Linked DNA regions of Arabidopsis thaliana. The protein of the gene in region 2 interacts with the protein of the main gene of each other region in a pairwise test. Each region holds a gene or a part of one and is shown on either strand. Other genes may lie near its edges.

Region 1 (4,263 bases), on a different chromosome or scaffold from region 2:
CTCCAGGAGACGAGGCTGAACAAATTTCGAAACTTGAGAACTCAATCTCCGTATCATCAACTTCACCATCTCAAGCTGAATCGTTCCTTTTCAAACTCTCACTCTCACTCTGTGTGTAAATTGCAAACCCTACAAAACAGCCATGGCACACGACGGACGGAGCTTAGAGACAAAAGAAACAACACCCGAAACGTACCAAATAAACCGGTTCAATTCAAATTATGCCGGAATTGGTTTTTTTTGTATCTTACTATAAAATACGGAAAGATTTTTATCTTTTAAGTTGCTCGGTGGAATGCATCAATGGCCTTTGGCACCCTCCTACGTTTTGATCTAGCGATCCAAATACTGCCACGTCTCAATTTACTTGCAAATAGGGAGAGTCCAGTAACTCGGGATTAGAGAGAGCTTGTTTTTATTCACTCGTGTTTTTGTTTAATCGGTCTAAACCGGACATTGTATGTTAACAGATTCATAGTGTAGTGAACCGAACATTTTGGGTATCATTCTAATGCGTATATTTATATGCTCTTTTCTTTTCACCACTACAATACTTCTTATCATTTACATGTGGTATTCATTAACGGAAATATTATTTTGAGAGCTTTGATCTTCACACAAATCATGTATTAGTAAGAAGTAACAGGAACATATAGAGAATGCATGTATCTAATCAAACTTTGAAACTTGCATCAGATTGAAATTTCATTTTCGCATAACCATCTACACAAGAAAACTATACCATAACAAGAACCAAAACCGAGTCAAAAACTACCGTTTCGAGAACATGAACTACAATGTCAGTGCCATAAGCTTTTTCAAAACTTTGTTCTGATGAGCCATCATAAGCTTTATTACCTTAAACCATGTTATCTAGGTACAACATGCCGCCCTGAAAGACAAACAACATCCAACAGCAACATAACAACACGATATTGAACAGCACAAGCTTGAGAGCAACAAAAGATCTTTAAATCATTTCGCAATCTTTTTACTTTCCACTTCACATACCAACAAAACACAGTCCTTGTCACAGATCGTGCCAGGATAAGGTTATGAAACAAGAAGATAGTATCTCATTCAAGAAGACTACTATAACATGAAGAACATTAAACCAAGTCTTAAACAAACAAAAAGGCTTATTAAAAGAATTCAATGCTAGATATCGAAATCAAACATTTCAAGATCGAAAGAGCGAAAAGTTACCACATTGGGAATCAATGAGATTCCTTGACCCCAATCCAACGAATTACAAAGGCATAAAAGACAAACCTTGACATTCTTAGAGATTAGATAAGATAAGAGGAATCACACAGACAACATTTCCATTAAAAATGAAAACAAACATGAAGAAGACAAAGTTAGTAAGCAAATTCCACAATGATAAAACAAACCCTAGCTAGGATTCGCTCGAAATCAAACAAACAAGTGAAAAAAACACAAAGAATCTCTTCTTAAAAATTTCAACTTTCAAAACATAAAAGATTAGATCTCACTTAGCAACCATCCTTGCTATGAAATCTTCATACCGGATCTTTCCATCGGATCCAACATCCACCTCCTTGATCCACTCATCGAACTCATTAGGCTCCAGCTTCTCTCCGATACTGGTCAGAATATGCCTCAGATCCGCCACAGCAACGAACCCGGTACCTTCCTTATCGAGCACTTTGAATGCGTCACGGAGCTGGCGATCGAAAGGTTCCGTCTTCAGATGTTTCGCCATGAGATCGAGGAATCTGTTGAAATCAAACGGTGAAGAGAGATTCTCGGATGCGATTATGGATTTCAGCTGGGCTTGGGTCGGGTTTCCGCCGAGAGATCGCATGAGGATCCCGAGCTCTGACGGTGCGATTTTGCCGTCGCCATCGGTGTCGAAGAGCATGAAGGCTTCCTTCATCGACGAGACCTGATCGTCGCTCAGACCATCTTTCCCCATTTTTCGATTCTTCCGGGTTTTCAGGTCAGATTCCGGGTCAGATGTTTCTCTCTTTTGCTTCTTCTCTGTACAACGAAATTTAGGATCAGAGAGTCGCGTTTGTAACTTTTAACGAGAGAGGTGTTGATATGGCGTCGTTTTATCTAATATTCAAGGCCCAACTATTTCTGGCCCATTTATCTCTTGAAATCTTAAAAGATGAACAAAGTCTAACCAATCATATTAGTGGAAATTTAAAGTTTAGGATCTTATTTTTGAAATGAATGTCTTTCGCCTATAAAGTTTTGATATGTTTGCTAGTTACAAATTAAAAAAAAGAATCAAATATTAGTAGGATAATTTGAGTGGGTTTGCATTTTAATATTTGTATTGGCAAATGAAATTGCTTAAAATGATTCCACTATACAACAAATCATTAAGTTTGAGAAAGTGGGATAAAAAGAATAAACATGACCTAATATTTCTTTAAGCCACAACCGATAGAGTCGTTTTCAAAGTGACATAGGAATTATAAAAAGGTTTGATTTGTCCCACATAATTGGATCTATGGGGTACAAAGACAATTGTTTAAATGCATTGGTCACTATCAATGTATATAGCAAATGATATCATCATGTGATTTAAAAGGTAACCTTCCACTTGGATGATTTTTCACATGTTTGAGTTCTTCTATACTTTATATCTTTCTTTTGGGTTTGCTTTGAAATATGATTCACTTGTTTGAAATTTATGCCATTATCTATGACTATCTCCATTATCCCTAGATGGAAAAAAAAGTATCCAGACACTCCTTATCAACGATCAATGAGACATTATCTATTATATCCACTTGGTTTTAGTTATCACATGATACTAAAGTCATTGAAATTGGGTCTGAATAGTGTTTTTTATTGTACCAACTAAATGAAAATTTTCTAAACTTAACTACTATTAACGAATAAACAGTTGATAAATCGTTTTAGACTAATTATAGTTTAAATCTCGTTAGCCTACACACGTCAAATTCGTCTGGAATAGTGTCAAAGTCGACTATCTAGAAACCTTATCTTTAAAAAACAGAAAGAAAGAACAAAACATAGTAAATCTTTTAGAAAATTTACCTATCACTCTCACATATTACACATTTTCAAAATCTAACCTTTACACCACAAAAATTTAGGATAATAGTACTCTAATTACCTCCGTTAATTCATAACAAGTGCATTCTCTATGTCCATTTTCTGATTTTAAAGCAACAATTTCTAAACAAAGGAGCTAAATCGGGGGGTACTTGATTAAAGTTGATAGTATTGGGGCTAAACCTAAAAACTAGACAAATATACAAGGGCCATATCGATACAAAACGAAACGAGACTTTTCTTAATGTCTACGTTCTCTATAAAAGCAAACTTTAAGCTAAAACCCAAACAAGAAGCAGAACACAAGAAACGTGAGAAACTTTGAGAAGACCAAGAAGAAGAAGCAGAAGAAGAAGAAAATGAAATTGGTTTGGTCTCCGGAAACAGCATCAAAGGCTTATATAGACACCGTTAAATCGGTAAGTTTTTTTTTTATTTTCCGGTGAGTTGTGAAGGAATAATAACACACGCTTCTTCTCTCCAGTTCTCGAAAACTCAGATCTTAATTTTGTTAAAGATTCATGGTTTGTTCTTGTAACGATTTTTTTCTTTTCTTTTTTGTTCAGTGTGAGAATCTTGAAACGCCGGACGCGGCGGAGCTAATAGCGGCGATGGCGGCGGGATGGAACGTGAAGCTGATCGTGGAAACTTGGTCAGAAGGAGACGCAATAGCTTCAAGTATTGGTTTAAACGTAGCAAGCAAACACGCAAACGCTAAACACATATGTATAGTACAAAACTCAAGATCAGAATCTGCTTATCTCCAAGCTATTCAAGAATCTTCATCTCCCTTGAACTTTCCAGAGACTATCGTCGCTGAAGAACCCGGAAAAGCGATGAAGAAGCTACAAGGAGTCGACTTCTTGGTCGTGGATTGGCGGAACAAAGAATTTGCAGCGGCTGCGTTGAAAAACGCTGCGTTTGGAAACAGAGGAGCTGTTGTGGTTTGTAGAAACGGGTATTCGAGCTTGAGAAGGGTTTTAAGAGACCGGAAAGTTGTTAGAACGGTGACTCTTCCGGTCACCGGAGGTATTGAGATAGCTCATGTTGCGGCTAGGAACTCAGGGAAGAGTGGTAACAATAAGAGAAGATGGATCACACATGTTGATCAGAGATCAGGAGAGGAACATGTGTTTAGTATCTAGAAAGTCAGAGACAAATAGTCATAAGTGTTTATTGGATCTTGTATTTGTTGTGTTTGTACAT
Region 2 (5,048 bases):
TTTAGCTGTCAAAAACACTTTATATTCTCCTCTTTTAATCTTCTTTATAAGACTCTTTTATAGTATTTCATTATTACTAACCATACCTCTAAGTGCAGGTGAAGCCCCAGCACAAAGTTGATAAAAAATATGATATGACCTTTCCCCTTCAGCACATTGGACCACTCTAGACTGTTAAAATGAGTCAACATACAAAGAAAAAATGTCAATGTTAATGAATCATGTTTAAAAAGGAAAGAAATCAAGCAAATAAAATCATCCAAAGAAGCTACCTTTTCTAGTAAAACTGCAAAATTTGAAGAACATGCAATAAGAAAAAAGAAGCTAAGTTAGCTCTGTAGAAATGAAAAAACAAAGTGAAGTTGCACAACTGTAAGGGTTACACTTACAGGTTTGAATTTGAGCACCCGATATCTTTCCACTTTCACTAAAATGAATCTCTATTAGCTTCCCCTGTATATTTTAATATCAAAACAACATTGTGAGACGTACGAAGACCTAAAACTCTCAACGACTTAGCATAAGATAATTAAAAATATACAAAAATCAGAATGATGAAGGGCTTACAAAACGACTAGAATTATCATTTCTCAATGTTTTTGCATTTCCAAATGCTTCCAAAATGGGATTAGTCTTAAGTATCTCATATTCGATCCCGCTTCCGCCTCCAAGAGCAGCCAAGTATTGCATAGCTATTTTAGCAGTCTCAGTTTTCCCTGCTCCACTCTCGCCGCTGGAAGAAGAAATAGAATCTTGTGATAAGGATACACCACAAAATACACAAACTGGAAGCACCACTTTATTCAACAGATCCACTAGTCTCAGTGTCTCACAACTAATGCAACTTTACAGGTCATGGACTCATGAATACAAATACATCTTTAGTCCAAAAACAAGTATTCTCATGCTAGTGCCATTTGAAATCCAATAGGCATGAAAATTAGCAAAAACTAAGCATAAAAGAGGACAGTTCTACTAACCTGATAATGATAGATTGGTTAACTTCATCTGGATTGGAAAAGATAAAATAGTGAGAGAATTGAAATATTTTTTTCAGCTTATGAGAATTGCAATGTTAACGTTCAACAATTAACAAAAGAATGAAACATGAACCCACCGCGTATCATTTCGCGAATTGCTGTATCTGCAATTGCATACACATGAGGACTCTCATTTGATTTCTTCCTGTATGCTTCAATGTATCGATTTCCGTATAAAGGAACCTCCTTAAAAGGATTCACAGCCACCAAAACTGGCCCTGCTTTTGTCTAGCACCATAAAGGAAAAAGGTTAGCCAAGCAAGAGTAGATGCTGGAACATATATAGTAACAGATTCAGGGGAAAGACTATTATCCTGATGAGCAAAAAAAAATATCACAACAAAAGACTTACATATATCATGTCTTGGTTGTACCTATAGTTGAGGTTGTACAACACTGATGGCTCATTTAAGTAACTAAGCTGCATAAGATCGTCCACTCCATCAAGAATATCAGGATTTGCAGGTACTAGAGTCTCTGATATGACTTTTATAACCTGTTTCAAGTTTGAAAGTAGTTTCAGATCAAATACTTCAAAAATTAACCTGGCTACCTTAGAAATACAAAAAGTTACTTACTTTTCCTTCGGGCAAAGATATAACAGACTCCTCCCCTGAAGTTGACAATATCTTCCCAAGCTCCCAGTTACCATTTGGAAGTTGAATCCAAGATTGCAGTATCTAAAGTTAAAAACTGTCAAAATTTCATCCCATATTCTTATAACTTTAGAAGCAATAAGTTTATTCTCAAATTAGCAAGAAATCCACCACAAAACCCTCAAGCCTCGAGAATCACAAAATGTAAATCTAAGGAATACCTTCTTTCGAGCATATGCACTAGTGTCACTCCACCTGCGTTCATCACTCTGAGGCAAGGGCATTGTAGCAGCTCCAGAATCTACATCATCCGTTAAAGACTGCTCTTCAACAAAAACACCGTGCCCGCTATATGGTGAATCCTCACTATCCCCAGCAGCAGTATCAGTTCGACTAACACCATTCCTTAAGCCACCTTTTCTTGGAACATTCGAATTGGTCAAGCGAACACTTGCACCAGAAGAATTTTCAAGGCGGTCAGAGACTGGTGAACCATCAAATCTATAGTCTGCTGGCAAAGATTTAAGTGACTGCATGAATGGAGTAACCTTCTGAGACATTTTGCTGCAAGAAAGAACGAAACTTATAAGCTCAAATGGGAAATGTTGAAGAAAAAATAAAACAATCTAGTCATACATGACAATCTATAGTTGGTTTCCATCAAGCTTTTGAAGAAGAACCCCACTCAAAAGCCCTATCTAATTTCATGAACATAATGGCGGGGACCAATACTTTAGGACATAGACTGAAATACTTTTTCTGAATCTTCAGTCACTGTTTTGAAGTTCCCCAATCAAAATTGGACAAGGAAATAAGCAATGTTAGACCAAGCTAGAGACTTTGCAGATGAAACGTTTAACTTGGTGGAGTAAACAATACAAATATCTAGAGATTGAGATAAGTAAAGAGAGTCACATGAAAGTAAACAAAGAAGAAACCAAAATATCTAAGGCTTGCTTGCCTGGTTGACATTTAAGAGCTTTCTTGCTGAAAGTTTCAACAATCAAAAATTAATCAGAGATTCACAAAAAGCAAACAAATTTAGCTCAAATCTTGAGAGATACAAAGACTAATTCCTATGTCACACTACACACAAACCAAACAGAAGACGGTACGAAATTTCTCAATTTGATCAGAATTCATTAAAAGAGAAACAAAACAAAAGCAGAAATATTTGAAATTTGTTCGATTTAAGAGTTAAAACTTAAACCCATTATAAACTTCAAGACCCTGGCTTTAAATACCTTCCAAAATTAGAGCAAAGCCAATCAGCAGCACCTTCAGTAGAAAAACTTCAGATTCTCAGAAAGGATTCAACTTTTTCTGGAGATAGATCTCAGACACACCAAATCCACCCCCACAGAAGAAACTTCTGATTCTATAAACTCCGGAAATGAGAGAAAAAAGGGGTAAGAAAATGCGGTGGAAGTGAAAATACAAAAAGAAAAGAGTATAAATCTCTCAAGTAGCAACTGAGACTGCTTGAGCGATTTCAATTTTACTGAGAAGATTGTGGAGAAAAAATCGCAAAAAAGTACAGAATGAAGAAGATACAACTTTTTCTCTGCTTCACAAGAAAAAAAAAACAAAGGAAGAAAAGAAAAGAAAAAGAGAGAAAACAGATTTTTAATTTCTTTTTTTTTTCTCTGTCTGAGAGGAATTAACAGTTTTTTTTTTTTTTTTTGTAAATTTAAAATTATCCGACAATTTTGAATGTCTTTGGGTTTTTGCCACCAACTGAACTTTCAATTTTTGAAAAGATCAATTTTCAGCACCTTACGTGTTTGCGAAATGACGATAATACCCTTGTTTATTACAGTATTTTTTTAACTGATGTTTTATTTTATTTTTTGAGTTTCAAATTATATGATCACAGATTTTTAATGCTGATATTTTCCTCTTTTAATGTTCTTAATTCGAATTAGTACACATACATATCATATTTGGAATATTCCCTCACACTTTTTTGGTTTCTTTCAAACTTTTTTGTAGTTGCTAAACGAATGTGAAAATAGAAATTAATAATAGATCTTGTGTTTTGACTCAAAACTTTTGAGTAAACTAGTTCATGAAATTTATGTGAATAGATCTTTTCATCTTATTTATGTAATTTTTAACATGAATTAGTTAACTTCAAATTTTGTTAGTTTTTGATATATAGCATTGTTTTTTTAGCTGATGATATATCAATGAATATCAGTTTTTCATAACACATAGAATTGATTGTATATTTAATGATTCTCTCGTTGAGAAAATTTAAATAAAAATAAATCCAACTGTATCATTAACAATTTGCTATCTTCCGCCATCGAAATATCAAGAAGCTAATTAATGTGCGAGTACATAAATAAGAGATTAGAATCGGTCCGTATGTTTTCGTCAGCGCTTTGAAAAATAATAAAAATCGGTCTGCGAAATAGAGTATAGTACTAAATTTCATTTTTTCTAGAATTAAGTCAACCACATATTAATTAACAAAATGTGAATATTTTAATTTTAGATTCGTTAATAAAATGGTACAAAACATCCTTTCAAAAAGTCACACACATTATTATAGAGAGCGATTTGATGGGATACATAAAACAATTATAAAAGCTTTTAAAACAAATTTAATTAATTTCATGTTTATATTCATGTATGACTGTTACCTACTGTTACAAGTTTGATAACACGATGATTTCTTATTCGTTTTGTCGTCGTTGGTTATGCAATTATTTCTGACACACATGTTTCCATAGATAAAAGTGTTTTAATCGCTCGCCAGTTTATGAAACACAATTTAATCGTTGAATGATTACCCTAGTTACTAATCGTTAGTGAATGCAAAACGCACGCATAGTTCACAAATCAAAATATATTTCTGACTGTTTTTTTTCTCTTCAACTGTGACGTTTATCAATGTATGGTTGAATGATTTGAATTATTGACTTACATATTAGATTACGTTTTTAGCAATGTTATTTTTGAGAAACTGACTTATACATTTCAAGATGATAGTTTAACGTTACAAAATAAGCTCATGCATATCAAATGAGGTTATGCATATGTTTAGTACTTTGCATGTCAATTATTATTCAAAGTATGTTCCAACATTAGTACTAATGTAAGATTCTTTAATAAGTAAGTAACGAAGTACCACAAGTTTTATACATATTTAATTCATAATGAACCTATAAACAATTAATACACATATTTCACAGAATTTACTTTTCGTATATGAAAACATGTTGCGACCATGTGATTAAGTATGACTTTCGAAACCATTTTTTTTTTTTTATGTCGACCACATTATAATGTCACTTAAAAAGCAGCGGTGTGGAAAATCGTGATTGCGAAGTTCCTACTATGTGTATAAATCCTAAACCCATTTTCAGATTCTCACACTCGCCCCACGAAATATTAAAAGTAAACA

The links.
Region 1: the proteins of ATM1 (region 2) and AT1G12310 interact in a two-hybrid assay, tested with the Arabidopsis thaliana proteins (one large-scale study listed by BioGRID).

The regions. Positions count from the first base shown.
Region 1 is NC_003070.9:4,186,008-4,190,270, forward strand, and holds AT1G12310 (Calcium-binding EF-hand family protein), read right to left. Parts: upstream 2,227-4,263; 5' UTR 1,940-2,226; coding exon 1,493-1,939; 3' UTR 646-1,492; downstream 1-645. Other genes in the region: AT1G12300 (Tetratricopeptide repeat (TPR)-like superfamily protein), read right to left, coding at 1-69; AT1G12320 (ankyrin repeat/KH domain protein (DUF1442)), read left to right, coding at 3,417-3,476, 3,624-4,202.
Region 2 is NC_003074.8:6,946,935-6,951,982, reverse strand, and holds the start of ATM1 (myosin 1), read right to left. Parts: upstream 3,210-5,048; 5' UTR 2,881-3,209; intron 2,564-2,880; exon of another isoform or gene 2,273-2,563; intron 2,201-2,272; 5' UTR 2,197-2,200; coding exon 1,858-2,196; intron 1,721-1,857; coding exon 1,619-1,720; intron 1,537-1,618; coding exon 1,393-1,536; intron 1,269-1,392; coding exon 1,118-1,268; intron 1,009-1,117; coding exon 981-1,008; intron 880-980; coding exon 851-879; intron 753-850; coding exon 568-752; intron 454-567; coding exon 390-453; intron 287-389; coding exon 273-286; intron 172-272; coding exon 87-171; intron 1-86. UniProt on the Arabidopsis thaliana protein: Myosin heavy chain that is required for the cell cycle-regulated transport of various organelles and proteins for their segregation.